Arabidopsis thaliana: one gene and its partners. The protein of the gene in region 2 purifies or fractionates together with the protein of the main gene of each other region. This does not show direct contact. Each region holds a gene or a part of one and is shown on either strand. Other genes may lie near its edges.

The links.
Region 1: the proteins of AT1G78850 (region 2) and AT1G33670 fractionate together in Arabidopsis thaliana (co-fractionation; one large-scale study listed by BioGRID). This does not show direct contact.
Region 3: the proteins of AT1G78850 (region 2) and AT2G26380 fractionate together in Arabidopsis thaliana (co-fractionation; one large-scale study listed by BioGRID). This does not show direct contact.

The regions. Positions count from the first base shown.
Region 1 is NC_003070.9:12,197,554-12,207,757, forward strand, and holds AT1G33670 (Leucine-rich repeat (LRR) family protein), read left to right. Parts: upstream 1-4,409; coding exon 4,410-5,777; 3' UTR 5,778-5,855; downstream 5,856-10,204. Other genes in the region: AT1G33680 (KH domain-containing protein), read left to right, coding at 6,503-6,704, 6,804-7,327, 7,419-7,604, 7,706-7,783, 7,850-7,921, 8,025-8,135, 9,611-10,204.
Region 2 is NC_003070.9:29,638,840-29,649,652, reverse strand, and holds AT1G78850 (D-mannose binding lectin protein with Apple-like carbohydrate-binding domain-containing protein), read left to right. Parts: upstream 1-6,117; 5' UTR 6,118-6,255; coding exon 6,256-7,581; 3' UTR 7,582-7,793; downstream 7,794-10,813. Other genes in the region: AT1G78860 (D-mannose binding lectin protein with Apple-like carbohydrate-binding domain-containing protein), read left to right, coding at 2,154-3,485; AT1G78840 (F-box/RNI-like/FBD-like domains-containing protein), read left to right, coding at 8,836-9,168, 9,201-9,743, 9,828-9,968, 10,061-10,363. UniProt on the Arabidopsis thaliana protein: May be involved in a cell-to cell programmed cell death (PCD) signaling mechanism.
Region 3 is NC_003071.7:11,222,684-11,233,567, forward strand, and holds AT2G26380 (Leucine-rich repeat (LRR) family protein), read right to left. Parts: upstream 5,441-10,884; 5' UTR 5,375-5,440; coding exon 3,932-5,374; 3' UTR 3,805-3,931; downstream 1-3,804. Other genes in the region: AT2G26360 (Mitochondrial substrate carrier family protein), read right to left, coding at 1-105, 176-477; AT2G26370 (MD-2-related lipid recognition domain-containing protein), read left to right, coding at 1,953-2,052, 2,721-2,840, 2,927-3,102, 3,244-3,369; AT2G26390 (Serine protease inhibitor (SERPIN) family protein), read right to left, coding at 6,404-7,192, 7,428-7,808; ARD3 (acireductone dioxygenase 3), read right to left, coding at 9,439-9,627, 9,732-9,856, 9,944-10,058, 10,200-10,294, 10,374-10,485, 10,574-10,636.

The DNA of each region.
Region 1 (10,204 bases), about 17 Mb from region 2:
TTGTGAGGAATGATCTTTATTACTAAGTCAGCAACAAAATAGAGTAACATAGAGCAAATAAAATGCAAAAGGCTGAACTAAACCAGTAAAAAATTACGGAATTGTAAAGTTTAACTACATCTTACGTGACCCTTTTCACAAGGGTTGTTAGCTCTGAGATGGAGAAATAGGAGTGTGGGATCCAGATAAAGCGACAATGTCCTTGTCAGACAAGCCCATCCGCTTAGCAAATACATCTCTCAACAGATCAAAACCTTTTGTAGCATCAGGGAGACGACCCTCAGGAGGTGTATGGGGCTTGTCCTGAAAGCAAGATATGCATGTTAGAAACAGACAATCAAGTCCCACAGCGTTTCAGTATTACAAGTATTGAGAGAATGTCTAAATTATCAATCAGCCATGTCAACAAAGAAAGCAGAACACACACTCTCAGGAATGATTAACCTCTCTTCAAGGGTGGAAATGAATTTTAGGGCCACCAGTAACTTCAACGGCCACAGCACCTGAAAGATCAATTTCTCACCAAAAAGACATTGTAAGTTAGAATCCAAACCCTAAAGTTATCACCGTCAACAAATTAGAACTTTTCAAAAATCTAAAATCAATCAGCAAGAGAGATAGTAGGGAATGCTACCTGATGGGGTCCAGCAACCTAAGAGCAATTTGAATACCATAGTTGGCTCCATTAACTTGCTCTGCATCAAACCTCATTGTTCTGAATGGACCTCCAGTTCTTGACTGACAATCGTAAGTTCCAGTAGAGTGCCATCTGCAGAAGAAATCAGATCAGCCATGAGAACCTAAATATTAGAAACCAACCACACACTGATATAGTTAGTTATTTACGCATGATGCATATCACAACCAATAAAAATTAGCAATAAACGGAGACAAATGTGCTTACTTATTTTTGTTTCCTTTCGAATTATGCATATCACAACTAAGGCACAATGAGAACGATCACTAATGTGACAAATGTCTTGGTCATCGACTCTGGAATCAGAGAGGACATTAAAAAGCCTCAGAAATTGGTAGAGACACACATTGTCTTAAAAAGATGACTACGGTTCAGGGGTTTTGACAAGAAAGTGTACCTCTCAGTGCAAGTCCACCAGCCATTATTCAAGGATCATTAGTTCAAACCTTATTCCCTTTATACGTTGAATTTGTGCTTTATATGGCGAGAACTGCATTGATATGGATAACTGTGAATTTCAGTATAAATCAAGGTTACGAAACTAGAAAATGATTTACCAATTCGTCACGAAAGCTTACCTTATTCAAGTCTCTTTATCAACTCCTACATCCGCACACTCACACAAAATATTCCAGCAAGAAACACATCAATTAAGGAACAATATCTACATCAAACAGACAGAACCACACAACTTAAATATGAGAAAACACACAATGCTATAAAGCACTAACCTTTTTCTCAAATTTTGATACCCGGTCGGAGCTATCTTCTGAGATTAAAGTGGTTTTACATAAACTCCCATTGGTTCTAATAGAAAAGAGTTTAAAACGATGAAAAAGATTTAACAAGATTACCTTGTCAGTCATGAGTATATTAAAGCTCATCTGAAACTTTTGCTCTTTCTTCATAAAACCTGTTTTAAACTGCAAACAATGCTCGTGTACTTTTCAAATATATAAGTTAGTACAAGCTATAATAAAGCAAGTAGATAAGAAAGTAAGAAATAAGGGAACACTCACAACGCAATTTCTTGCCATCAAATGTGATTATTCACACTTTTTGCTATAAAAAAAATCATGTTAAAGTATGTTTTATGTTTCTTGAAGTTGCGTTTGGACGTTGTGTGTTATGTTTTTTGTTTGTGCATTTGAATTTCATTTTGTGTGTGTGATTTGTTGTGTATGTTCGAGTGTGGTTTTTCGTGGATTTATGTTCTGTTTTCTGTTTCTTTAAGTTGTGTGTTTTGGACGTTGTGTGCTATGTTTTTTATTTGTGTGAATTTCGTTTTGTGTTTTGGTGACTTTAAAATAGTTATGTGTGTTTGATTTTTTTTTTGTGCGTTTATGTGTAGGTTTTCGTGGATTTATGCTCTGTTTTTGATACAGTGCAAGAGACATGATAAGTGGGAGGGAGAGAGAGCGAGCTACTTAACCATACCTTTGTGGCTACTGAACTGTCTTCAAAGCTTCCTTACAGCTAAACAATCCTTCATCCTGAGAAACTTTGTCAAAAATTCCATTAGAAAGCTCTTGAAACCAAAGAAACCTTGTTAATAACACGCAGCTTAAACATAGAACGAATATTTAAATTTAAATGATCATAAAACCAAAATTGACAAAACATACAAAATCCTCGCTGCTAACATTTGGTTGCTTGCTCTGCTCAGGTTTTCTAAACAGGTAATATACATTGTTATGGAGCTGCTAATTGCAGAAAAAAACCTGTCTAATTGCGGTAAAGGAGAGAGATAAAGAGAGACTTCACCTTAATCATTGTACGTCTTTGCTAGCGAAATAGTCTCTCTATGGTTCTCTGCACTTGAAAGCAATGACATTTATTAGTAAGTCATCAACTAGTAAGATAGAGCGGTAGAGCCTATCATCTCTGAAATGGAGAAATAGACAAACATTATCTAGAGAATCAGGTAATATCTTGGAGACACTAAACACTAGAGCCAAAGAACTGAATCACTAAACAGAGAAAAATCATCACAAGAGGTTCTAAATGGATAGATTTTCTTAATCAAAACACATGTAACCAACGTTTTTCAATAACCTACATGATTGAATTGAAACTAGTACTAAACGAACACAAAATGAAGATCATCATCATCAGAATCATCACACTACTACGAAATTCACTGATTCTACTAAATTGCTAAGAGATTGATTACTATAAATGGATCAACAAAGAAACCCGAAGAAAGGGGTTTGTGATTCCTAACCTTATTTTGCTTAATCACAAGGATTTGTAATCAAGATTCAATTCCACAATTATGTTCTGAATAATCGGAAGAGAATTATGAAGTAAACGAAACAACCGATGAATCAAAAACAAACTTGAAATCGATCAGAATTGGGTTTATTATATACCTGATTGTTTGCGTAATATCGGAGGGTTTAAACCGAGTCAATCACACGCTCCTCTTGACGGCGGTGACAAGGATTTCCTCCCCAATTTCGTTTCTCATCCCCAGATTCATCACCGGCTGGAGCCGAAACAAGTTGATTCCGAAGAATTTGATAATTTGAATTGTAGAGACGAAGTATTTTTTGAGTCGGTGATGAAATGAATGGAACCAGAAAATTATATTTGTAGTGAGTGTTCTAAAGCTAGTTGATACGAAAATACTAAAATACCCCGTTTTATTCCGTTAGACCCATTTGGATTTGGATTTGAATTATAATTTTCCCCCTAATTTGAAAATTTTAGTCCGTTAAAACTTAAAACAAAAATTCAAATTACATATTACTTATGGTTGGATGTGCACTTTACTTAATTTGAGAATACTACCACGAGTGAGTTCATTAAGAAATTCTTAAGTATTACAACCCTTACCTTCATTCTAACGAGAACACAAAGCAATAACGAACACAATAACAATTAGATGATTCATTTTTTGGATCTAGAATATTTCTTAAAGTACAATGAATCCAAAAGCTTAATGTTCATAAGCCAACAAATAAATTTGAACAAAAATATAAACCAAAAATGAACCTATGGCGGGAGGAGCATTTCCTGTCGAAAACTAAGGTTAATCAGTAATATAATGATCAATCCTTTCTCTCTCTCAAACTAAGATTCAAAAAGCTCCAATGGAGTAACCTGAAAGACAAGAAGCGCATAAGAAAATTGGTTGAGGAAATGAATCATAAGAAGTAAATCGATTAGACAGACCATTATAGAGATTCTGCGACTATCTCTTAAACAAACCAACGTCTTAAATCTCTAAACTCACACTTAAACAATATGAAAACAACCTCTCCAATACTCTGATAACAAACCATGCCTCAAAATCGTGTTGCTTGTATTCTACGGAACAGGCATTATACTATTATAAGATCAAAATATATTGAACAAAATCTCGCAGCTTAATTTAATACTTAAAAAATCACAGGTCAATAAGATATACAAGAGGGATTACCAATATCACGCTTACCATTCCAATGACATGTGGTCAAGTCTTAAGATCGAGATTCACATTGATATCAGATCTCTTTATTTTGTTAATTAAGGTCTATATCATGGAGTATCTCTTTTACCGACAGAGAGTTGATTAAGCCTGTCATGGGAATATAAAATGATAATTGTCATGCTGTAATTACGGACACCACTAACTATGCAAGAAAAAACACGTTTGAAAATGAATAGAAATGAAATCAGACCTCGAGTCGACGACACTTCAGTCACTTCTCTCATTCAACAAAACACCATGAACTCTTGTTCCTTCCCTCTCTTCCTCTTTGTTATCTTTCTCCGGTGTTTAAGTTCCACGGGAGCTGCCACATGTCATCCTGATGACAAAGCGGGTCTTTTAGCTTTCAAATCGGGTATAACCCAAGATCCTTCGGGTATTCTCAGCTCATGGCAGAAAGATATTGACTGCTGCTCCTGGTACGGTATCTTTTGCCTCCCTACGATTCATGGCGACCGCGTCACCATGATGGCATTAGACGGAAATACGGATGTTGGTGAAACCTTTCTCTCCGGCACTATCTCACCGTTGCTCGCCAAACTCCATCACCTCAACGAGATTCGCCTCACCAATCTTCGAAAGATCACTGGATCTTTTCCCCACTTCCTCTTCAAATTACCAAAGCTAAGGACTGTTTACTTAGAGAATAACCGTCTCTCTGGTCCCCTTCCTGCCAACATCGGTGCACTAAGTAATTTGGAAATTTTGAGTGTGGCGGGAAACCGGTTCAGCGGTTCGATCCCAAGTTCGATGTCTAAGTTAACTAGCTTACTCCAACTCAAGCTCAACGGTAACCGCCTTTCTGGCATCTTCCCAGACATATTCAAATCCATGCGGCAACTTCGATTTCTTGATCTCTCCAGCAACAGATTCTCTGGAAACCTTCCTTCATCGATTGCATCTCTTGCACCGACTCTTTCTACCCTTGAGGTGGGCCATAACAAGCTATCGGGGACTATCCCGGACTATTTATCGAGATTCGAGCTTCTCTCCGCATTAAATCTCTCTAGGAATGGGTACACAGGGGTCGTGCCGATGAGTTTTGCCAATCTGACCAACATTATCTTTCTTGATCTCTCCCACAATCTGCTTACCGGTCCATTCCCTGTCTTGAACTCATTAGGCATCGAATATCTACATCTTTCGTACAACCGATTTCACCTTGAAACAATCCCCGAATGGGTGACCTTGTCGAAGTTCATCTACTCATTGAAGCTTGCAAAATGTGGGATCAAAATGAGCTTAGACCATTGGATGCCAGCAGACACCTCTTTCTACCATCACATTGATTTTTCGGAAAACGAGATCTCAGGGAGTCCAATAAGGTTTTTTAACCAGATGGATTTTATGGTGGAGTTCCATGCACCGGGGAACAAACTCCAGTTCGACTTGGGGAAGCTAAAGTTTGGAATCTTCTTGAAAACCCTGGATTTGTCAAGGAACTTGGTATTTGGGAAGGTACCGGTGACGGTGACCAGACTGCAGACACTAAACTTGAGTCAAAACCATCTTTGCGGAAAGCTTCCATCGACAAAGTTCCCGGCTAGTGCTTTTGTCGATAACAAGTGTCTTTGCGGCTTTCCACTTTCTCCTTGTAAAGCTTAGGGACAAGAAAAGCACAGTTTTGTATTTGGATTTATTATGACACGTAGCTCCAAATAAAATTTGTGTGACTATAATAAAGTGATTTAAAGATCCCAATGCCAATAAGCTCCATTACAACTATAGTGAATGTTAGTGAAAGTATGATTTCAACCCTTATGCACTATTTCCATGCAGTCGTTATGTTGGTACAAAATTGAGGATCTGAAGGCATTTGAAAGGTCACCAAACAGTCTCTCTGAGAAACATGAAGCGAAGAAATTCATATTTAGTCAATAGAACCACTGAGCCGGACAATGATTACCTCAACATGATACGAAATGATTAAATTTAATGAGTAGTAGTAGTATTCTAATACAAATGTTCCGATTTATGTAACGTTGGCTTGTATTAATGATGCATATGTTATGCTTGAGTGTTCTTATAAATTTGGTCGAACACTTGAAATGTAAACGGATCAGATCTTGTATTTAATTGTGCATGGGCTAAATTAAATACTTCTCTTTTACCTTTTTTGCCAATGAAAAGTTGAATAATAGTAAGGTCCGATAGGCCCATTAAAAAGCCCACAAACCCTTTAATCAGCTATATTCCCATTCCACTGCTCCCAAGTCGTCACCACCACTTCCCGTCCTCTCTCCAGTCACTGTTTCCGAAGCCCTAAAGTTTTCAAGGTCGCCGATTAAATCACCAAAGGAGGCGTTTTTATACTATTCCCGGTTCAACACATGGCGGAGGAAGAGGTTATCGCTATCCCCGTGCAGCCATCTGACCACAAGCGCAAGCTTGAGAATCTCGAATCGGAGATCCTCGAGCAGCAACACGCCGGCTCGATTGATAATGACGTTTCTGTAGATGATGACAAAAACGCATCTGATTATTGTCAGCCGAAGCGACCGAAGCTTGACGATGAAGCTGTTGATGGTTTAGGTATGTCTGATTCCTTTCAAAGTATGGATTTTGGTGGATGCATATCGAAAAGATTTCACCTTTGTTCTTAATATTCGTTGTTACGGCATTGTGTTGTAGGGATTGGGGGAACTGTAGAAAACAGTGGTGATGTTGAATCCAAGGAGGAGGGAACTGAGAAACCCATTGCTCAGAGTGATGAGAATCAAGATGGTAATCCTTTAATTGAGAAAGTTCAGGAGACCATTGATGCTGAGGAATCGGACAATAAGATGGAAGATAACGGTAAGCCTGAGGATAACCAACTAGTTACTCCTGAGGTTGTAACCTCTCAGGACGTTTCTGTTGAAGAAAGTAAGGAGGTGAACATTAGCGGTTCACAGAATGAAGGTGAGGATGATAGTAAGGAAACGAATGATGTTGTTGCTCAGAAAGAAGTTGAAAACGGAAGCAAAGAGGTCACTGATTGTGACTCTCAGAAGGAAGATGAAGCAAATGCTGGTGGCGAGAGTAAGGAAGTGAATGGCAGTGTTTCTCATGATGAGATTGGTGACGAGAGTAAAGAAGTGAATGGTGGTAGTACTCATAAGGAGGTTGATGATACTCAGTCCACGACTCGTCGAATAGATGTCCCGAGTTCAAAGGTGACTTGATTTGGTTTCGCTTTTGACTCTTTAGTGAGTAAGTTTTGCTGAGTTTTGGCTTCAATATATGTGATCTTGGCACACTTGACAGGTTGGCACGCTAATTGGTAAAGGTGGGGAGATGGTACGGTATCTTCAGGTCAATTCTGGTGCTAAAATCCAAATCCGGAGGGATGCAGAGGCTGATCCAAGTTCAGCTTTAAGACCGGTGGAAATAATTGGAACTGTTTCTTGTATCGAGAAAGCAGAGAAGCTTATCAATGCTGTCATTGCAGAGGTTTAAAAGTTTTCTTTGACATTATCCTTTTTTAAATCACAATCTTTTAGTTGTCTATGCTAAGAGTTGGCTACATTTTTCTTCTTCTGCTGCAATCCCAGGTTGAAGCAGGAGGTGTACCTGCCCTTGCTGCAAGGGGGGTCCCAGAACAGATGGAGATTAAAGTTCCAAGTGATAAGGTAGACCCTGGTAACTGTTCTGATTGGCCATTTTTAAGTGATAACTAATCCATCTTCAACTCACAGGTTGGTGTGATTATTGGCCGAGGTGGGGAGACTATCAAGAACATGCAGACAAAGTCGAGAGCACGCATCCAGGTGATTACTTCTATTTAATCTTGAATGTATGGAGAGTACAGAGAAAGATTGTGACAATATTGCTTGTTACGGGTAACAGCTGACTAAAATAGTTTTCATATAGTTGATACCACAAAATGAAGGTGATGCATCTAAGGAAAGAACTGTTCGTATTTCTGGTGATAAAAGGCAGATTGATATAGCCACCGCTTTGATAAAGGATGTTATGTACCAGGTTTGTCTTCTAATGTTCTTTCTCAAAACGATGTCATTGCTTTTAGTTTTTGCAACCATGTAAATTGCTTTGTTTTCATTAATCTTGGTGCACGATATGTCTGGTATACCGAAATGTTTGATAATCATATCCTGATAACTGCTTTATTTTGGCTTTATTTTCACCAATGCATCTACATAATTTTTAAGGTGATAAATCTGTGTTTTCGTGTTCCCGCTATCTGTTTGCTAATTTTCTCGTGCATGCAATCTCTGTAAAAACTAGCTTGTTACCTATGATCAACTATAGGTCCATTACCTTAATCATGTTGTTCATTTTATGCTGATTCACATTTGATTTATGTTTTTGGGGCATAGTCATTTGATTGTGGATAATTTTACTGTTTTCCTGCTTTAAGCATATGCAAAAGTTGTCTTAGTTTGAAAGTTCAGTGCAAATCTATGCGGGCTCCCCTGATTTAGTGAATAGGTGCATATTCATGTCCTAATGGAGTACTTGGTTCATACTGCTGAAATTAGAAGGATAGCTTGAGAAAATATGTACATATTGTAAGAGAACTGATAATTTTCTCCTGTTAAGAAGATCATTTGTTCCATCCTCGATGTCGCTTGCCATGATATTTAAAATTAAAGGTGCCGATCTCGAATTGGTGTTGGCTTTAAAAATGCAGATGTGGCTATTACCTTTCAATTGGGGTCAGCATTGCCTTGTACAATAGACATCACCCAGGTCTACGGATGAAGGTATTTGGCAGTTATCATTCACGCTTGCAGGTTCTAGTAGTCGGTAAGGCTGCTTTTGTTCTTTGAAAACTTCAGGACGTTAGTGTGAGCATGGATATATTGCAGTTCCGTTGTATAAATCTAGCTGCAAGACTTTAATGGCCTATATCGCTTGCTCTTATTTGATTAACGACATTGACGAGAATCTAGAATATATATGTCAACCGCCAAGTTTGCAATGTGAACAGAACTTCTTTTTTAGTACTCCTTCTACAACCAAGTCCATAAAAATTGTGTTATGTATGCTCAGATGATCATGGAATTACTTAAGGGGAGCCTGGATACCTTTGTGCTTACTAAATGATCATCTCTGATATTATTTCAAGCATGTACTGTAGTTTTAGGCTAGGTACTAAGTTGAGGCCAGACTTTATGTTCAGCTTGAAACAGCTTGGAATGCTATTGACAGCATAACTGTATGCAAAGTTATCACTTTTATTGCATATAATAATTTCTGGCCCATGTCATGTCTCCGAATGCCATCTGCATATGATCTGTTTGATGAAATTCCTTGCTGTCTTGCTATGTTCTTAGTCATATCCACTTTTTCGATTCTTTTGTCAACTTAGAGATTTTATGTTATGCCATTTTTAATTTGAATTTATAACAGTGCTTTCTTCTGTCAGCTGTATGATATATTATGTCCCACTTTGTTTTTCTTTAAAGGAGTTTTCAATTTTTTATGTTTTGTAGGATGGAAGGCCATCGCCCTATTCTGGTGGTTTTAACCAGCAGGCTTACCAACCTCGAGGACCAGGTGGTCCACCTCAATGGGGTTCGCGTGGTCCTCACGGGCCACATTCAATGCCATACAATTACCACCATGGTGGACCGTACCCGTCTCAAGGCTCACATTTCAGACCTCCCAATTCTGGTGGTTATCCTCCACAACATATGCCTCCTAGAAGTGGATATGGTTCTGGTTGGGAACAAAGACCTCCACATTCTGGTCCATATGATTATTACGGTAGGCAAGGAGGTCAAAACCCAGGCCCTGTGCCTTCTCATGGTGCTTCTTACTCCCAGGCAGGTGCTCAGCAGACTTACGGGCAGATGTATGATCAGCCACACTATGATAATCCTCCTATGCATCAATCTTATGGAGGATATGGTGGCTCCCAACAGGGCTATCCATCGGCAGGTGGTCAGCACCAAATGCAGCAGCCAAGTAGACCTTACGGTATGCAAGGATCAGCCGAGCAAGGGTATGGGCCTCCAAGGCCTGCAGCACCTCCTGGTGATGTGCCTTACCAAGGTCCAACACCAGCAGCACCGTCATATGGTTCA
Region 2 (10,813 bases):
ATTTCTATGTTATTCGTATTGTTGATACTTCGTTTAAAACTTATATGTTGACAAATGAATACGGTGCAATGCCTTAATTTAAACCATGAATCTTTTATTTTCGTTATTATTTATTTGATAATAGTCCTAATAATGTTTTTAATCAAGATATAATATTTTTTGCGAGGGATCATTAATTCTGATGAGGAGGACAAAGCTTCAACAAGCGAACAACAATATCCACTACTTAGAGAGCTAAAGCATAAACATGAATTGCAATTTCCGCCAGGTTAGTTTTCAATCCTTTCCAAAAATCAACTACTATCAATAATAATTGAAGCACTTTTTAGTCGAAATACTCATCACTCGAAACACTTTCTAGTGTAAACTTTTTAATTCTACTTTAATAACACACTCATAAACACTATATCATTTAGTAGTAAAACACTCAGTAACTAAAAAATATTTTCTTAAAAAAAGATATGATGCGGAACTTTTAATTAAAACTCACAACTAAAAAATTAAAATAGTTGAAACATACTTAGTAAACACCAAATTATTTTCAACAAAAAATAGTCAAAGTCGTAGCACTGAACCATTCAACCAAAAAAAAACACATTTAACAAGATACACACACGACTAATAAATGTGTATTTTCTTACGTCTTTAAAATTACATTAACACTTAATTAATTCAACAAAATCCCTTTAGCCAAAATTTAGTCGAAGCACTTACTCAAAAAACTTATATCTAAATCCGAACACACGTAAAACACTAGATCAATTTACTTAAAAGTCGAAACATATATTTCCAAGCATACTTCTAAACAAAGCATACTTAGTGAAGTACATTAGTTATACTGTTGAACACAATATTAAATCACGAACACGTACTCCTAAACTAGTCAGGCAAATTACTCCTAACATTTTAGTCAAAACATAGTTATTCGTAACACTTGAAAACACTTCCGCAATTCCGCATTTAAAGGCAAGTGCAAAAATCACACTTTATTTAAAAAAAGCTTATATAAAAACCGTTTTAGGCGAAGTATGAATATTACTTGAACAATTATTGTTTTTACTTCACATTTCGTCGAAGCGTCTGTTAGTCGAAGCCAAGCACAAGTTGAACCACTGTTAGTCGTATCGCTGTTAGTCGTTAGTCAAAACACTTTTTTATGTCATACATTTTGTACGTTGTTATTAAATGTTAACTTGATCGGGAAAAGACCACTCTGTTGCAGGTCGCACACCTTTAACAGTGATCTAATATATCAAAGACAAAAAAAAGGTGGATTGAGATTAATCATAAAAGGAAACAAATACTTTAACAACTTCTCAAAAAAATTGGTGATCAAACTCAGAAAACTAAAAATTGGAACATAGCAACTGAAGAAAATGAAAATGAGGATCTGTTTCGCATCCATATTTCGCAAACTCATTAAAACGTTAATTAATTTTAAAATAACCAAGTGTAGATAACGCAGCTTATCGGATCCGTTGGTATAACGTTGTATGGTCCTCAGTTTGGAAGGAGTGGCGATTTTCCGAAAATGGATTGATATAAGGCAAACAGATTGGTTCAGAGTAATTTCAAAAAAATCAATGAAACGGTATATGAAATAATGTACTTAAAATATTATATCAAATAGGCTATCTCTATGCTCACATCACATGCGTCGAATAAACAATTAAAACAAAAATCCAACGGGACGACCAATAGCATAATTCCGGTGGCTCGTAATTAAAAATTGGTCCACATTATATCAAAGTGCTCACGTACCCTTTCAAAATTCCAATTCCAACTAATGTTGCTGTGGTGCTACAGAAATAAATAAAAAACTATAGTTGAAAACTGACAAAACAAGTATAATTAATATTGACTCGCTTTATACAAGAAACATGTTACTTTGTACAAAACAAGTATAATTAATATTGACTAAAATGAAAATTATCACTTTATACCTGTTAAGAATCGATAGATTATCATACAAGTTGTTTCAAATTATTATACAAGTTTGTTTCACTTCACTTTACACCGAATAGCATTGATAAATTAATATACACCTGCTAAAGTGACGAGGTTTCAAAAGCATATCATTGCATCCTATAAAAAGAAGCTCACTCAGTATACTAAAACACACCAACATTCATCAAAAAAACACATAACAAAAAATGGAATTCTCAACCACATTAGCTCTGTTCTTCACTCTCTCCATATTCTTGGTCGGAGCACAAGCCAAAGTTCCCGTCGACGACCAATTTCGAGTGGTCAACGAAGGAGGCTACACCGATTACAGTCCCATCGAATACAACCCCGACGTACGTGGCTTCGTCCCCTTCAGCGACAACTTCCGTCTCTGTTTCTACAACACAACCCAAAACGCATACACTCTCGCTCTTAGAATCGGAAACAGAGCCCAAGAATCCACTCTAAGATGGGTCTGGGAAGCAAACAGAGGCTCACCAGTCAAAGAAAACGCCACGTTGACTTTCGGCGAAGATGGAAACCTTGTACTTGCTGAAGCCGATGGCCGCGTGGTCTGGCAAACGAACACGGCTAACAAAGGCGTCGTGGGGATCAAAATTTTGGAGAATGGCAATATGGTAATATATGATTCAAATGGAAAATTCGTATGGCAAAGCTTTGACTCTCCGACCGACACGCTTCTCGTTGGACAGTCTTTGAAACTCAACGGTCAAAACAAGCTCGTAAGCAGACTTTCTCCATCGGTCAACGCAAACGGACCGTACAGTCTCGTGATGGAAGCCAAGAAGCTAGTCTTGTACTACACGACAAACAAAACTCCAAAACCAATCGGTTACTACGAATACGAATTCTTCACCAAGATAGCTCAGTTACAGTCTATGACGTTCCAAGCTGTGGAGGATGCCGACACCACGTGGGGTCTACACATGGAAGGTGTCGACTCTGGTTCTCAATTCAACGTCTCGACGTTCCTCTCGCGGCCTAAACACAATGCGACGTTGAGTTTTCTTCGGTTAGAGTCAGACGGAAACATCAGAGTTTGGAGTTACAGTACGTTGGCGACTTCCACGGCTTGGGACGTAACGTACACGGCGTTTACTAACGACAACACTGACGGTAACGATGAGTGTAGGATCCCTGAGCATTGTTTGGGGTTTGGTTTGTGTAAGAAAGGTCAGTGTAACGCTTGTCCTAGCGACATAGGGCTTCTTGGTTGGGATGAGACTTGCAAGATTCCGAGTCTCGCTAGTTGCGATCCCAAGACATTTCACTATTTCAAGATCGAAGGAGCTGATAGTTTTATGACGAAGTATAACGGTGGATCAACGACAACGGAGAGTGCGTGTGGGGACAAATGTACGAGAGATTGTAAGTGTTTAGGGTTTTTCTACAATAGGAAGAGTTCGAGGTGTTGGTTGGGTTATGAGCTCAAGACATTGACTAAAACCGGAGATACTTCCCTAGTTGCTTATGTCAAGGCTCCGAATGCTAGCAAGAAGTCAGCTCTTGCCATTTGAAGCGTAAACAAAGGTTTTTGTGTGTCGTTTTGACGAATAATAAGGCTACGTTGTCCTTTGTTTTCTCTTTTCTGAAAAAGTGTTGCTATTGGTTTATCTTGTTTTATGATTGCATGTTGATTCTCAAGCTACACCGTAATAAATTGAAGTGAAACGCATCAGCTAAATTCAATTATTCTCATTATTTTACCAAAAAAAATAAAATTATTCATTAATTTAGTATCATCACAAAATATGATATACTTAAGGATTGAATTGAGAAATTGAATCATGAATGAGTTTAAGCTTTCATGTTTTCTGTTTTTCTTTTTTTTTTAGCTTGAGACCATATTTTGAAGGTAATGTTTCAAGAAAAACCTTAACTTTCCGTTGTGAAAAAATGTTTTATATTTTTATTAGACACTGATGCAATGCAGTAGAACGTGCACACAACACTTTGCTTCTCATGACAAGCCATTGAAAGATTCAAACTTTTAATTTGGATTATTAAAGAAGCGGTATAAATATGATACGAATAAGATGCGTGCTACGGCGCTTCGACGCCGCGTCACCTTAACAGAGATGGTCATCTGTCTCGTTTTTTTTTGACCAGTCAACGCTCTTATATATTTATTATACATGTACATAATGTCTTAAATCATGCAGACTAATAACTTTACATCGTTTTCGTTGTTAGCTTTGATTTTTAAAAGTCAACTTGAAAGATGCCAGGTGTTATTTATAGTTTATACATATCAAGCAAATGCTTTCTACTGCATATATTATCGATTTTTTTTACCCAAACATAATAATTAATTATTGAACAAAAGGTACACAGTACTTAACACTAATCTTCATTTTTCTTCATTTTGTGAGCTGATTTGGTCTAATTAAATCGATGGCATAAAAGCCAAAACCAGAGAAACATTGTTTATGAATAGAAATTTTTAGAGGTAAAAATTTAGCATTTGGAACCAAAGAGTCGGTTCTAATATAATGTATAAAGAACGAAAAATAAACGATAGAAATATTAACTGAACATTTAGTATGACGGTTTGGGACTTTGGGGTGACAAATTGTTGTACTATATTGAGCTGCCCATAAGCATTTGTATTTGTGAAACATTGCATATTAATTGGAGCTGAAGTATATACATATGCATAGCTATGAGTTAATTTTTCTACCTCGTCTCGAGACAATGCATTTTGAGGTGATTTGGTTCCCAAATGATGCCGCTCTAAAAAGGCTAATTAAGAAGTCAAACTTATTGTTGTTTTGTTGATGCCTCACGGGAATCACCAGATATGAAAGCTAAAATCTGATGATAAATGCATAACAAACAAGGCCATCAAATTATTAAAGGTAGTTCTTCAATAGAACCCACTTCAAGCAAAACCAGTAGCTTTACTAATGGAAGTTCAACAAGCCAGAAACTTGGGTTATTATGAGGTAACGTTTGTTGGAGATGGCAAAGCTTAATTTGTATGATTGTCACCAGTCAAGAAAAACACAGGGCTAACTGCAAAACTTCTATCAAAACTCTTGCCAAAGACATCGTATCTCTTTCTAGACAGCATGTAATTATATATATATGTACGTGGAAAACAAACTTAGTAGGAGTGTGTACAATTTAGCTAAGTATGATTGAATACATTCTACAGGACATGTAGTAACTTGGAACTAGTTATATTTTCTTTCTTGTGTAATAAGAAGATTTGAGGACAAAAAAAAAGATGCTAAATACAAGTTGGCACATGGACTCGGAAAAGAATAATAAAATGTTGCCAAAAGTAATTTAAAACAAAAATAGCTAGCCGTCGAATAAGACCTGTGCCCACACACACCTGGCAAGCCGCCGGGTATTGGGAGTTGGGACACATGACCACACCAAAGATCCGATCTAGATCATTTACATTAGATAATTATTTATCCATGGTCCGTTTATTTTTGTAAAACACCTTCAAATTTCTTTATTAACAAGTGGTCAGAATAGTTCAGATTAATATCAGAAAGACAATTAACTATAAGGATAGATAAAGTTGCATGTATTTGAATCATATATCAAATTCTATCTGAATCATATATCAAATTCTATCTATAATCTATGCGAATGCGACGTGAGTCAATAAATATTAAAGACAAATCCAACGAGACGAGAGAATCGACTATGAGCATCTTCCAGGTGGCTCGTAATTAAAAGTTGTTGGTCGGTGGGTCCTCATTCAAACGAGTGATTTATTATTTCGTTCGATTCAATACGCAACTCTAGTAATTTCAATTTAACTAATGCTGATGCAGTGTAAGAAAGTATAGTTATCAACCAACAACTCGCTTTGTAAGAGAAACATATCATACTTTTGATGATACTATTTTTTCTTTTTTGAATTTCACACCGGATTCAATCGGTAAAGTATTATAGAAGTTCTTACTGAAACAACATTAATTTTTTTGTAAAATATAAATCTAAGAAGAAAAAATTACTAGGGAAATTAATAGCAAACTGTAACGGTTGACTGGTTTTGCTAATCGTGCACGGTTTAGCATTGAGATTAAGATAAGCTCTTTCTAAAATATTCGAAACATATCCTTTAAAAAAAAAAAAAAAAATCAAACAAAACCAGCAAAAGTAATAGATTATAGCGAAACAAAGACCAAAAAGTCGTTCAAAATACTCTTTAAAATATTATAAAACCAACAAAAAAACAAAGACTTCCTTGGCTCCTCCTATAAATAGAAGCTTTCTCTCTTTACCAGAAACACACCAAAATCCATTAACACACACAAAAACAAAATGAAATTTTCAATCACATTAGCTCTATGCTTCACTCTCTCCATCTTCTTGATCGGATCACAAGCCAAAGTTCCAGTCGACGACCAATTCCGAGTGGTCAACGAAGGTGGCTACACCGATTACAGTCCCATCGAATACAACCCCGACGTACGTGGCTTCGTACCCTTCAGTGACAACTTCCGTCTCTGTTTCTACAACACAACCCCAAACGCATACACTCTCGCTCTCAGAATCGGAAACAGAGTCCAAGAATCCACTCTCAGATGGGTCTGGGAAGCAAACAGAGGCTCACCGGTCAAAGAAAACGCGACGTTGACTTTTGGCGAAGACGGAAACCTCGTACTCGCTGAAGCCGATGGACGCTTGGTATGGCAAACGAACACAGCTAACAAAGGCGCCGTGGGGATCAAAATCTTGGAGAATGGCAATATGGTAATATACGATTCCAGTGGAAAATTTGTATGGCAGAGCTTTGATTCTCCCACCGACACACTTCTCGTTGGACAGTCTTTGAAACTCAACGGTCGGACCAAACTCGTAAGCAGACTGTCTCCATCTGTCAACACAAACGGACCGTACAGTCTCGTGATGGAAGCCAAGAAGCTAGTCTTGTACTACACGACAAACAAAACTCCGAAACCAATCGCTTATTTTGAATACGAATTCTTCACCAAGATAACACAATTCCAGTCAATGACGTTCCAAGCTGTGGAAGATTCCGACACAACGTGGGGTCTAGTCATGGAAGGTGTCGATTCTGGTTCTAAATTCAACGTTTCAACGTTCCTCTCACGGCCGAAACACAACGCGACGTTGAGTTTTATTCGGTTAGAATCAGACGGAAACATCAGAGTTTGGAGTTACAGTACGTTGGCGACTTCCACGGCTTGGGACGTGACATACACGGCGTTTACCAACGCCGACACTGACGGTAACGACGAGTGTAGGATCCCTGAGCATTGTTTGGGGTTTGGTTTGTGTAAGAAAGGCCAGTGTAACGCTTGTCCTAGCGACAAAGGGCTTCTTGGTTGGGACGAGACATGTAAATCTCCAAGTCTCGCAAGTTGCGATCCCAAGACATTTCACTACTTCAAGATCGAAGGAGCTGATAGTTTCATGACAAAATATAACGGTGGATCATCGACGACGGAGAGTGCGTGTGGGGACAAGTGTACGAGAGATTGCAAATGTTTAGGGTTTTTCTACAATAGAAAGAGTTCGAGGTGTTGGTTGGGCTACGAGCTCAAGACATTGACTAGAACCGGAGATTCTTCCCTGGTTGCTTATGTCAAAGCTCCTAATGCAAACAAAAAGTCAACTCTTTGAGGTCTGAAAGTCATATATATATATGAAATTATTGTGTTGTGTGTTTAATAAGGTTCGTTTGTGTACCTTTTTAAAAATAAATGGTGTACTGATTCTCAAGATAAATCCTAATACAAAGTGAAGTGAAAGGAATCAATTTCTGATATATCTTACCATCCCCAATGGTTAAGAAGTAATTGGTTCTTAACCAAACATCTTAACAATTATTTATACTAAAATTTTAAAACATGACATGTAACTGTTTTTTTCACTCATGAAAACTTCTTAGCTAAGAAGCAAATCTTAGTTTTTAAATTTATTTTGATTTAATTTTTATAGTTTAATTTTAAGATATTATTCTAAGATACACCTAAGATACACCATTGGAGGTGCTATTACTCCCACAATTTCTTTATATAAGATTTTTTGACTAAAAACAGATTAATAAACTATTATTTTGTGCATCATGAAAACTAGTTCAACCAATGAAAATAAATACTGCATAATTCTTGTTCTAATGACAGATTTTAAACATTTCTGTATTCCCAATAAATACAGATTTAATTTAGAAACTTGAAACAAACAAAATTGTTTAAACATCTTACAAATAAAAAAAAAGGGAGTGAGTAATTCATAAAATACTATGCTTTGTCAGTAACGCAGAAGACCCAAGTGCACGTAATACATCAGAGGAATTAATTATTGATTGTAAAGATTATTGTATTGAATAGTTTTGTTACGTAGCTAAATATTTCAAAATTAAAGATGGGATCGCGAATTTGCAATTGCATCATGGTCGATAGAATAAGATGCGTGATACGATGCTTCAGCGCCGCGTCACCTTTTCGGCTAGTTTTTTTTTTTTTTTTTTCATTTACAAAGTCGGCTTGCAAGCTGCCGTATAACAGAAGTACATGTTAGGATTTTCATACATGTATTAATAAATCATATTTTCAGTTAATTGGGCCTGTAGGACACGTTTTAGCCCATTAATATATTCCTCTTACGTTTCAACCGCTTTCCCAAAACCAAAAAAAACTTGAAAGCGTCGCCACCGTCGTCAATTATCCGACGATCTCTCATCGCTTCGCTTTTACATCGTCATTATCTGTGATCGGATCGCGCCGCTGCAGGTCAGTTCTCTCGTTGTTCTTCTTAGTCTCTCTACTATGAATTTACTTAACTTGATCTGTGCTTTTCTGCTTAATTTTTCAGCATTACATCATTGCTGAGGTCTCTAAACAAAAGCGTCACGATTACAAAAGACGAAATCACATGGAAAACAAAGATTTGATTAGCCAATTATTGCCGGACCACGTACTGCATGAGATACTCCTAAAACTTGCGACGAAAGATTCTGTTAAAACCAGTATCTTGTCCACGAGATGGAGATATATTTGGCAACGTGTTCCTGGATTGGACCTTAACCAAACTAACTTCAGATACAAGGGGTTAAAGGGTTTTGTCAACAGGTTTCTAGATTTGGATAAGAAATCACTCATATACCAATTGAAGTTGGAATTTGACGGCAGGAAGTATGAGACTGAAGGATCCCTTTTCAACAAGTGGGTCGACTCAGTGGTTACCCGTGGAGTTCAGCATCTTGTGGTTGTTGCTAAAATATTTGGTTCTTGCATAAGAACAATTATTGTCCCATAAAACTTCCGGGAAGCATTTCTATGTGTGAAACATTGGTACACTTGAAGCTGGTCGAGGTAGGCATTGATAGTTTTGACTCCGTTTCTCTACCTCGTCTTGAGACTATGCATTTACTATCGGTTTGGTTTTCGAGCGAAGCGGCTCTAGAGAGGCTTATCTCATCCTCCCCAGTTCTTCAAGTTTTGTACATTGAAAAAGTTTGGAATGTGGAAGTTATACGAGTGCGGTCTCAGACACTATATAGCTTGAGAATGCGTATTTGGAAAAGAGATTTAGATTGGAACAAAGATTTAACAAAAATTGGGCTAGTGATTGATGCTCCTAGGCTTAAGTCTCTGAATCTTCAAATCCACCGGTTTAAAGACCTTGTGCTGAATAGTGTATGTTCTCCGCTCAAAGTGGATATTAGTATCTCTAAAGGAGAGTTTAATCCTATTAACTCATTGACGATGAAAACATTGCGTACATTTATTGCTTGGATATCAAATGTCACAAATCTTGCACTCAATTACTGTTGTCTAGAGGTATGTATATTTTTGTAACTATTCATCCTGAATTAATCTGTCTCGAAAACTTATTACTAATTTATTCTTCTTGGTTTTTGCTAGGCTATGTATGCTTACTCTAGCTCGGAACCATTGCCTCAGTTCTCTAACTTAACCCATTTGGAAGTTTCGATGGACTCCTCTTGTTTAAAGTTGTTACCAACGTTTCTCGCAAGCTGTCCAAACCTAAAATCTCTAGAGTTGGTAATTTTATTTTTATAAGTAACTCTTGAATTACTTAACTAAACTATACATTCTCATTACGTTTTTCGTTTCTTGTCCTTGATATTATGTAGTGGGTTCACGATCATCGTCTAGATATATTGGATATCTCAAGATCAACTATGCCTAAGTGTCTGCTAATATCGCTCAAGTTTGTTACGATATACAGCACAGCTATGATATCCAGCTCGGTTGAGAATCAGGTCGAAACCGAGCTTGTCAAATACATCCTGGGGAATGCAGCAGTTGTCAAGGAGCTTACTCTTCGATTCATTTTATGGGCAGAAGAACACAGGTTTCAACTTAGCAAGCAAATCCTTGCGTTTCCAAAGCTTTCTTCTGCTTGTCAAGTCTTTCTTCATTCGTCGTTTTTTTGAACTTGTTGTGAGGATCAAGCACAAGTGTAAACGTTATGCTTCTTAGGTGTTTTTAGTTTCCACACTTGTTCCGGTTAGACATCGTAATTTTTAAAAATTTTAAGATTTATGTGATTGGTAAATTCAAGATGCCGCAATATTATTGATATCGTAGATATCTTTGTCAGCCATTATTTGTTTGGGTTTCGTTTGGTGCACATGTAAAGAATAAGATACATGGATCTCTGCTACCCATAGATACGTGTACTTAAACTTTTAAATGAAAAAGCCAAATCTTGGCCCCTCGCAGTGGCATCTAAGAAAAATCCACAACTACATTTTTTCTTCAAAACTTAACTAAACTCACAGCTTCAAGTCTATTTTACCAAGACGGTGCTGTGATATTTTACCAATCCTCATTATCCTCTCATAGGCAGAAAATCCGGTTTCAAGTCTTCTAGAAAATGATAG
Region 3 (10,884 bases), on a different chromosome or scaffold from region 2:
TTGACAGTATCCACTGGATGCATCAAAAAAGCAGAGAAAGCACATGAGATTCCTCCAGCTAATGCAGATTTAAGAAGATGACCAACATCTAATCCAACTCTTGTCCTAACAAAACATGTAGTTTAGACACAAATGTTTTAAAGAAAAACAGTATCTACAAGGTTCTTGTCCTCACCCAGTATCAAAGTTCTTGCCTTTAGCAACAGCTTCATTGATCAATGGAGCAATTTCATTGGATCTTGAAGTAAAATTTCCAACTTTTGCAAAATTTAAGCTAACTATAAAGCTACACGCATCTGAATTCGATTTTCTACGGAAACAAGAGTCAAGCTTTTGAGAATTTAGAAACAACAAATCATTGAGAATAGAGAGAAGGAGAGATTCAGGTGATACATGTTTCCTCTTCGGAGCTTTATTCACCATTGTTGATTTCAGTGGATCTGTGGATAAACCTTGAAAACTAACTCTGTTCTTCATCCGTCATTAGAGGAAAACAGAAGAGTGATTTAAGTGAGATTAGTCAACGTTTGATCCAAATAGTGGTTTTGATTATCGAATTAAGCCATTTTTGTTAGTCTTTGTTTAAAGTATTAGTAATTTAGTATACAACAACAACGCATATGAGGTGTTCGACGAAATGACTGTGTTAAAACAAATTGAGATGTGGGACTGAAACAAAACTAGAGGTAACTATTTTAACCAAAGATGTCAAAATGAGTAACCTTACCCAAACCCACATGGATTTGAGATTTTAATAGACGAGTTTGACCCAACCCATGTATTTATATAAGTTGAATTTATATACTCAAATCCACAACCATAAAATTTATTGGTTTAATTGGTTATATTGATATCTAGATAAAAATAAAAGAAAAATTTATAAGTAATAAAAATCTAAAAAACATATTATAATAAAACCAAGAAAAAATTTCAGTAACAAATTAAAAAATATCTAGATATTAAAAAAAAAAAACATCTTAAAATCCTAAAGTCCTAAAACCACAAATCCAAAAAAACACAAAATCATATATATATATATCATAAAACATGTTATTCATGCCTACTATTTTTATAGTCTATTAGATTAAAATATTTTGCTTAATTAGTGGACCGAATCAAAGTAATATCCAGATATATTTATATGCTTCGTTAAAAGCGAGATTTTAGAATATGACTTTAGATGTCATTTGTATTTTTAACCAAAATATAAATAAAATGTCATTGGTATTGCCAACTATGACCAAATTCTTCAATTCACAGGCATGTGTGAGTTCATGTCGAAGAAATTAAAGATTCACCTATTTAACCGGTGGTGCATCTCAAAGTGGGGAAACAAAAACCTCTAATAATGAAAGTATTTGCCAGGTTGTGTTTAGCTTCGACCATGTGGTTCGGGTATGGTTTATTTTATTTTATTACTATTTCATCTTATCTCAAAAATAAGATTTGTATGCCATGTTGCGTTAACGTTGACCATTTAGTTCCCCAGTATATGGTTTAAGCGCAATGTATATCTATGCATACATTTTTGTTTTTTCGGTTTGTGATCGGTTTTAAATTTTGTATGATGCTAATAACAGTTGTGTTTTGGAAATCACGCCGAACCAACAGACATGGTCGCAGTCAAACAACTCCATCTTTGGGATTTTTTTTTATCTAAAAGAATTCACGTCCTTGTATATAAAAGGTGGTAATATTTGAAATATTGAGATTTCAGGCAACACTCATTTTTTTAAGATTCTCACGTATAAATTAGGATTATATCATATAGGAATAAGTATAACGTGGAAGATTATTATATAGGGATGAATCATCCACTAGTTAAGCAGAATATTATATTATATAGACTATATAAAATACTAGGCATGAATGAATTTAAGCATACGTATTACAGACTTGTTTGTCAAAACAAAACAGGCATTAATCTTTTTTATCTTTCGAAGATATAACCCATGGCGATATCTCACGCCCAACCTGTTCTGCTTCTCCTATCATCACTCTATTTCTTATCTGCTTTTGGCGCCGGCGCATACAATTTTGAAAACTGCAAAAGTAAGTATCGTTTTTGTTAAGTCTTATATTGTTATATAGAACATCAATTCTTGTTACTTGATAAGTCAATTCAATGAAAAGAATATGCCTGAATTTCATAGATTGTGGTTTGCTCCTATCTCTGTTTTTTGTTTTACCAAATAAATCTTGAACCGGAACTCACATTAGTCGTCAATTCCATAAAACAGAAATAGAGTATTTTGCTACTGTGAAAACGTTTATATAGAAAGAACAGATCAATGAAACTATGAAAGTACTCCCATCTATAAAATAACCCAATAATTGTGAAGTATTCACCGAAGACTTTTTTCTTTTTTTTTTCCTTCAGTGTGGTTTTCGAGAGCCGTGGTGTATAAGTCAAGAACTGAGTATTATAACTAAAATATTGCAGGTCCAGAGTTCCTCCAATATTCAAAGATAGATCAAACAATTTGAAATCTGATCGAAATTTAAAATAGATTTATCTTTTGTTAATCCTACAAATAAATAAATAAAGAAACACTTACCCCTATGACCCTATCATTTGACATACCAAATTTCCAAATAAAGAAATTTAGGATTTATTTTTGTAAGAAATTAGGATGTAGATCCAAGTTTTTTTTTTACCTGCCATGACTTACTGATAACTTCTACAATTGTTAACATGCTCTAAATCGGTGCGACTAAAGATGCACCTATTGACTACAATTACGGTATTACGAACGTCACACGTGTGGAGATCTCTCCATACCCTGTTGGGCCTTACGACGAGCCAACCATTACCATATCCGGCTTTACAAGTGATGATAGTACGTAATATTTTCTATTCTTTTAATTGTTTTCATTTATAGTTTCCAATATCTTATCTTGTAAGAAAATATATTTGTGTTTACAGGCTACATCATCTATAGAGCAACTATACATGTGTTGTATAAATATGAAAATGTGAATAGCACTATAATAAATTACGACCTCAGTGATGTGATGGGTGAGGATCCATGCTCTATTGAACCTGGCGAAAAATTTGTGTTAACTCTTTCCAAAGTTCCTGGTTTGCAGTCACTCCCTCATGTAAGTATTTTTTATTTTAATTTTTGGACAAACGGTTTCACTTTGATAAATGTATTTTAAAACCGAACAATCTAAAAACCACAATAGTATATTTACTTGGTTTGCCTGACGGTTTTTTTTTTCTTTCTTTAAACTAATTAGAAGGATAAGTCCAAGATTGTCATATCCCTTGTTGATGAATATGGTGATGACGCTGAAGTGCCACTGCTAAAAATGTGTGTTGAGTTCGATAACCCTGCTCCAACTACAACATCGGTCTCTGCTTGATTAAATCCAATTGGCTTATGGAAATATGTTTTCAATTCTTCATATGACACTCCCGTATTACTTGCATTTTTTTTTCCCTTTTCGTGTTGTTCAACAAATAAAAGAAATATTGAATTTATAGTTTTATACGACTCTCTCGTTAATTACTAGCATCCTTTTTATATTTCAGTAACTATATAGAAAAAAATTCTAACGCATTTGCTAAAAATAAGCTACAACAACAAATCTCTAGCTATGTTTTTATCGCAAATAAGCTACAACAACATAATAAGCTACATTTGCACATGAATAAACGATGCACGAATCTGTCTCACCTTGTTTTATACGTATAGAGCGCACTTGTTTTCTAGAAACTTTTCCATTATAATTGATTAGTTCAGAAAAAAATTAGAAGATTTGAAGGTGTTGTGTGGCGATATTCATATACCAAAATCAGTAACACAAAATCAGTAAATAAAGGAACTTAAAGAGAATACGAAAATTAAACAAAGACAAAAGAAGAATATGGAACTTGTGACACATGAAGTTCAAAAACAATATAACATGACGATGAATGAATCCATTAACCTTTACAATGACTTAGCGGGGAGCCGCATAGACAGTCGTTGCCGGCAAACACACTTTCTGGAAACTTTGTCACCGGAAGTTTCCCACAAAGATGGTTTTGACTCAAGTTAAGTGTCTTTAATCCGGCCACCCTCGCCGGCACTTTCCCGAACACTAAGTTCCTTGATAGATCAAGCGTCTCGAGCGTCGTCGAGAAACTTAGCTTCCTCAAATCGAATCGGAGTTTGTTCCCCGACATTCGAAACTCCCGTAGTTGCTCTGCTCCCTTCAAGAACCTCAGTGGACTCCCTGAGATCTCGTTGTCCGAAAGATCAATGGAAACGTAGAGATCAGTTTGCCTTGTTTTCCAATCGTCTAAGCTCATCTTGATTCCACATTTAGCCAACTTCAAAGAGCCGAGGATCGACGCTGAGGTCACCCATTCCGGGATTGTTTCCATGTGAAACTTGTTGTACGACAGATCTAGAGTCAAGATGTAATTCTTCACGTTCAAAACAGGGAATGGATTGGTTAGAAGATTGTGAGAGAGATTGATATTAGCAATTTTAGTCAGCTTGGCCAAACTCTTCGGCACGGCTCCAGAGAAACGGTTCTTGGAGAGATCCAGTGTGTCGAGCGCCACGAATCTTGATAAATAGCTCGGTATCGACCCCGAGAGATTGTTCTGACCTAGCTCAAGGAACGCAAGAACCGGCGCGAGCGATGCAATCGACGGAGGGAGCTTCCCGGAGAATCTGTTGCGTGAGAGAGTGAGGATTCGAAGGTTAGTCATTGATTTGAAAATATCCGGGATGGTTCCAGAGAGACGGTTTCCATCGAGATTAAGATTCGAAATGAGCTTGAGATTAGCAATCCCTAACGGTATTGTTCCGGTTAAGAGATTACCGCCAAGATTTAGGTAGTTTAACCGAGTTAAATTGGATATGGAACTCGGGATTGAACCGATGAACCGGTTTCCTTTAACGGTTAATGTATCTAAGCGGTTAAGCGCGCCGATGTTGGCTGGAAGAGGACCAGAGAGACGTGTATTCTCGAGGTAAACATACTTTAGATGTGGTAATCTGAATAAAAATGGTGGAAATGGTCCTGTGATGTTTTTGAGATTGATAAAGACGACCCCTTCCAAATGCTGGAGTTTGGCCAGTGACGGAGAGATTGTGCCAGAGAGAAAGATTCCGGCATCGTCGGACTCTATGCGGATAGTGAGTACGACGACACGGTTGCCGTTAGGGCAACTGACACCGTTCCAAGAGCAGCAATCAGTACCTTTTTTCCAAGTGCTTAGAATACCTGAAGGATCTTTGGTTATACCCGATTTAAAAGCTAATAGACCCGCCTCATCATCAGGATGACACGTGGCTGCTGCGGTGGGGTTTAAACACCGGAGAAAGATCACGGCGGTGAAAATGAAGAAGTTGTGGAAAGAACAAGAGTTCATGGTAGTGAATTTTATTTTTTGTAGTGAGGTTGAGAGAAGCAATTAGCAAACTGATAGCTAATTAGTCTAAAGAGAGATTAGACTCGACACCAATTAATATCAAATAGTCAAAGTTGACCCATTTGGACCAATCCATTTGCGCGTAACGATTAATACAGTGTAAAGATAATTAAATAACAGTATAAAACGTGACAAAAATAAAAACTATATAGCATAATAACTACCAATTATCTTTTGTCAAAAGGTTGTTTTGACAAAAAGGGTCTTTTGACATTATTTAAGATTATTTAGTATTTTATAGGAGGGATGTTTAATATTGACCGTTATAGGTTATAAACTCTGTAGAAAAAAGTATTCTTAGTAGTGACTTTTTGGTAAGATAATCCTTTTAAATGGTACTAATATAATGGGACAACATTTGGCATGTGGGAAAAGAAATATACAAATGAATGCTAAAAGGTACCGCTAGAGCCTAGAAGTTCAATATACAAATGAAAGAATATCAATAAAAGAAACCGAGGATAAAGCAAAAGAGAAAGGAGAGATGAATATTAAAACGCTAATTCATGATGTAGAATGTAGATGATGGCAATGTTCTCACCAAGATTGTCTGCCTTAAAGTCGGAAAAAGGTAGATTCGACGTAAACCCATATTTTGATAAAGGTTTATAAGACCAATATGCCATAGATTTAAAAATGATTCGGGATATATAAAAATGCAGAGAATATGTGTAATCTATTTGCTGAGATTTTCAAGATAAATTGCTCCGGATTGTAGTTCATTTGATAGAAAATGAGGACAATGGTTTCTAGACAAGAACGTACACTATTAGAACTTACACAAAGCAATAAAAAGAAGAAGAAGCAAACTTAGTTTCACCAAACCATAAATATAGACAAAATACAACAAACATATTTCATAATGTTTTCTCCAGCTAAGTAGGAGACACAATGGAAAAGCACACTAAGACCACGGGGTTTCCTACATTATTGCAAACCGAACAACGCTCATCACACGACATAGTTCAATCAATGTTTAGAAGGATCAAGAACTTGACCAATGAACAAAATTACTCCACTATTGTCTTCTCTCACAGTGAACAGAAATGGATGGTCAGCTACAAAATCCGGGTTCCGCATCAAACATTGGGGCATCATGATGGCAACAGAGACCGCTGCAGCTTCGGTTCCCTCTTCATCCACCTCAATGCAAGCTTTATGAATAATGCTTGAGACGTGCAGTTTATCACCGTTCGAAGGCGAATCAACCATCTCAGTTAAATTACCTTTGGAAGTAAATGGAGAAGTAAGCCCCATGTCTTTCAAAACTTCTGAAGCTTTAAACTCAAAAGAGAAGTTCAACTTCGGAATTCTCAAAGCATCGACTGGTGTACGGTGAAGTGGAATATGGCTATCAAGAAATCCTGGTTCAGTGCTTATTTTCTCAAGCAGAGCAGCTAGTCCGTCTTTGTCATTAGGAAGATAAATGTACATGGAGAAATGACGTTTATCCTCTACATAAGGTAGGCGCAAAACTTGGAAACCATCATAGCCTCTTAGATATTGGTCCTTATAACTCATCATGAAGGGGACTTTTACCGTGTTACCGTCAAGAAGATGAAAATCGTTATCTTTTGTTAGTTTTGCATCAAATTTTCTACTCCATGCTGCTTTGAAGTACACTGCATTTGCTAGAATAAGTGTGCTATTACGGATCTCCTTGATAGTATCGGTACAATCGCGTGAAAGAATCTGCTTGATGAGTCCATTTGTGTGGACGTCAGCCCATATATTTACCTCATCAATCACTTCAACAGGCTTCATGACCAAGCGATAAAAATTGACCAATCATTAGTGAAGTTGGATGTCATATATACACAAGAAATTGAAGAAATAAAAAAAGAGAATGTGATATAGCCGTCTCCTTCGTAACCACATTAAACGTCTTAAATAACACGAACATTCACCTTTATATATCTATGTTATAGGGATTAGTCTAAGTTTCGGTCCCATAATAATTGAAGCAAAATTTATCCCTAACGAAAAAAGTTACCTTGGTTGCGAAGTCAACTTGACTACAAGAAGCCTTGTAGGAATTCTCCAAAAGCTCTTTAAAGGAAGGCTTCAAATAAGAAGACTTGTCGATCCAGACACCGTGAGCCGTAGATAAGCACAAATCACTTCTCTCGGTGCCGCCGTCCGCGATCTTGGCCAAGACCGCGTTAAGGTGATCCGTAGACGGTGACATGAGGAATGAGAGGATTTCTTCTTTGGTGACGGGATTAGAACCAGCGGCGATGAGGCTGAGCAAAACGTTGATTGACATCGGTGAAAAGACAACATTGGAGCCATTGGCGACATCTGTTTCAATGACTTTCTTTGCTAGTCTTGCCACGACGTTGTTTTGGTTCTCAATTGATTTTCCTAACTCCATTTTTTTCCAAGAAGAGGTGTACGGGAAGATATAAGAATGGTTCTGAATATGCAGATGTGATGATTGATGAAATAGCTTGTTTCAAGTATACTAGTAGCTATTTTTTGTTTTAAATATATTTTCTGCACATGAATTATTCAATCGAAATGATTTAGAAGTAATAAAGTACCGCGTGTGGAAAAGTCGTATCATGGACTTCGTTGGAAGTACTTGGCATTAACTATAAACTAGGTCTTGAAGTTTGGTTAATTTATGCCTTATGGGTCAATTTACTTGGAACAACTCTCTTTTTCATCCTTTTACCCATAAGGCATATGCATAAACCAATTGTTCCAAATCGATTTTATAACTCTGGGAGTTGCCATTTGGAACAACTCTCTTTTTCATCATTTTATATCTCAATCTAGGAATCTATCATAGCTTGGCTATTCTCTAAAGTAAATTTCCTTTTTCTTTACTTTCTAGCACTTAAATAAAACTCCAATGAGCTATCTTTTTCAGTTTAAAATATATTTCTATGTTAATTAGCTCATTTGAACATAAATCTTTCTTGCTTTGGTGTCTCCTACATGTATATTTTGGAACCGTCTGTCAATTGGATTGGTGGATTCCGACTCTTATATCAAAGAGAAACAAAATAAAAAAACAGAGTAATAATCTTATTAGAGGGGGAAAACAATGTTTTTAAAACCAAATCATTGCTAGAGAACGTGATTTCCTAGCGAAAGTTTACACTTTACACCACAATATATACTAACGTGCATGTGAAAAGAAAAGAAAAGAAAGAGAAAAAGGTTGAGATGAATGTCTGAAGCAGCCAAATCTTATACTCCCTCTGTTCTATAAAGTTTGATGTTTTGAGTTTTATTTTTGTTTCATCAAGTTTGATGTTGTAGGTTAATATTATTATTATTTTTATTAGTAACCAATAGAGAGAAAAGAGAAGTAAAATTTATATTATTAGATTAATAGAAAAGTAATAAAAATAATATTAAAGTTACATTTTTTAATTTGTGTGAAAAACCCAAAACATTATTTTTTTAGGAACAGAGGGAGTAAACATGAACTGGAAAATAACAAGACATATACTTGATGTGTACATGTATCGATTTCTTCTTCTTCTTTTTTATCTTTTTTTTTTTTAGTTAAATGTATCGATTTCTTAGTCACCAAGAGGCAAGAATATAACAAAAGACTAGAAATTCTTTTGTTTGATTTTATTTATCATTGGGTACAAATTCTAAAAACATGAGATTATGGATACTCCATAAGTAATGTGTTCAATTCAAATAATCATTTTATTTATTTACAGTAACGGATGTATATCATGTATTATGCATAGACACCAGTAGGTTGAGACTAATAGTGACCGATAGTTTTATATATTTTCTTGCTTTCATATATTGTCATTTTCCTTCTTCTTTACATTACAATCACAACAATAATGCCAAAAGACACATGAACCAAAATGTCTTCGGTTTCCATGTTGTAAACATAATAAAGCATAATTAAAGACAACATCTAAACATATGTTTAGCTTATAGAAATCTGATCCCCGAGAGTTCTTTACGCTGAAGCGTCTATGTTACGGTCCCCAATCACCTTCAAGAATTTTTTCATATACGCTTTCCTATAAAATAGCCGTTTGAATATACATAAACACTTTTGTCGCCTCTTTGCTTAGATATATAACTACAGATCTAGTAAGCTTTGTCGTGACAATATGGGAGAACAAGACATCATTGTACCTTGCAGGAAGATGGTCATGTGGGCGATTATAAGCAGTCCACACTGGTCCACCCACGAAAAGACGCATTGCCTGTTCAATATATAAGAAAATTCCAATTTTCTAAGCAACCAAAAATATATTACTTGAACCTTCATATAGTATGAATTAATAACTAGAAGAAGCTAAGATTGAACCTTCATATAGTTGTCCGAGTCCACGGTGAAGCGATGATATATTCCAGCAGGGAAGACTATCAAACCTCCCTTCTTTACCCATACTCTAATCCAAATATCATTGAGATCCCTCACATCAAAGTATCCTTTGATTTGTTTTTAAGAAAAAATAAAATAAATGAGCACCATATCGAATTTATTTAAGTACTAAAGCAGCGAATAAAAGTACCTACCACTTCCTGCGAGGCAGTAACGGATCTCTTCATCAATATGTAAATGTTCTTCAAAAAACATCTTTACTTTTTCTTCATAGTTTGGAAGCTTCTCTGGACACACCTCACATAAGTCCTAAAACCAAACATCCAAATGTTTGCGAATCAAAAACGAATATTTAATAATCAACTAACAAACGAAGATTTATTTTTTGTTAAAAAAAAAGACCAAACAAAGGAAGATATTAAAAAAAGGCATCAAATAAATGTCACAAACCATGTAGGAGTAACCACGAGATTCGCGGATCCTTTTCAATTCCTCATCGGTTTCATAGTTATCAGCATCAAGTCTCCAGCAAAGTACTCCAAGCTCTGAACAAAAAAAAAAAAAAACATTATTAACCTACGTGAAAGAATAAAAGTATGTGCAACAATGAAGATACACACAGACCTGCAAGTTTGTCCAAAGATACAAATTCCTTAGGATCCTTGTGGTGAGGAAGTTTCTGATCCTCTTCCTTATTATCCAAGTACCAAGCTTGAATCACTTCTTCAGTTTGATCCTAGAAAACATCAATCTGATGCTAAGCAAAAACACTTCTAAAGTAAATGGGAATAGATCCTAAATCAAGAAGGAAGAGTTTATATTACCTTAGCGGCTTCACCCATGGTTATTCTTCTTTTGTGTTCAAAATGAAGAAAGAAAGAAACCATTTATATAGATAAAAAAGGAAACCGCTAGCATTTTTCTGTGTGCAAAAATGTAAAGTAAGAACACAAAACCACTCTTTCCATTTCTTAGGCACCTTTATCGAGAAGACAAGGACGTCACGAAGTGTCAAGGAGATGACGAAGAAGTGATGACGTCACGAAGTCTCACGACTTCTATTTACTCTATTTGCATTTGTTAAATAATAAGATGCTTTGTTCTTATCAATTATTGTTCTTAATAATAAGACTTC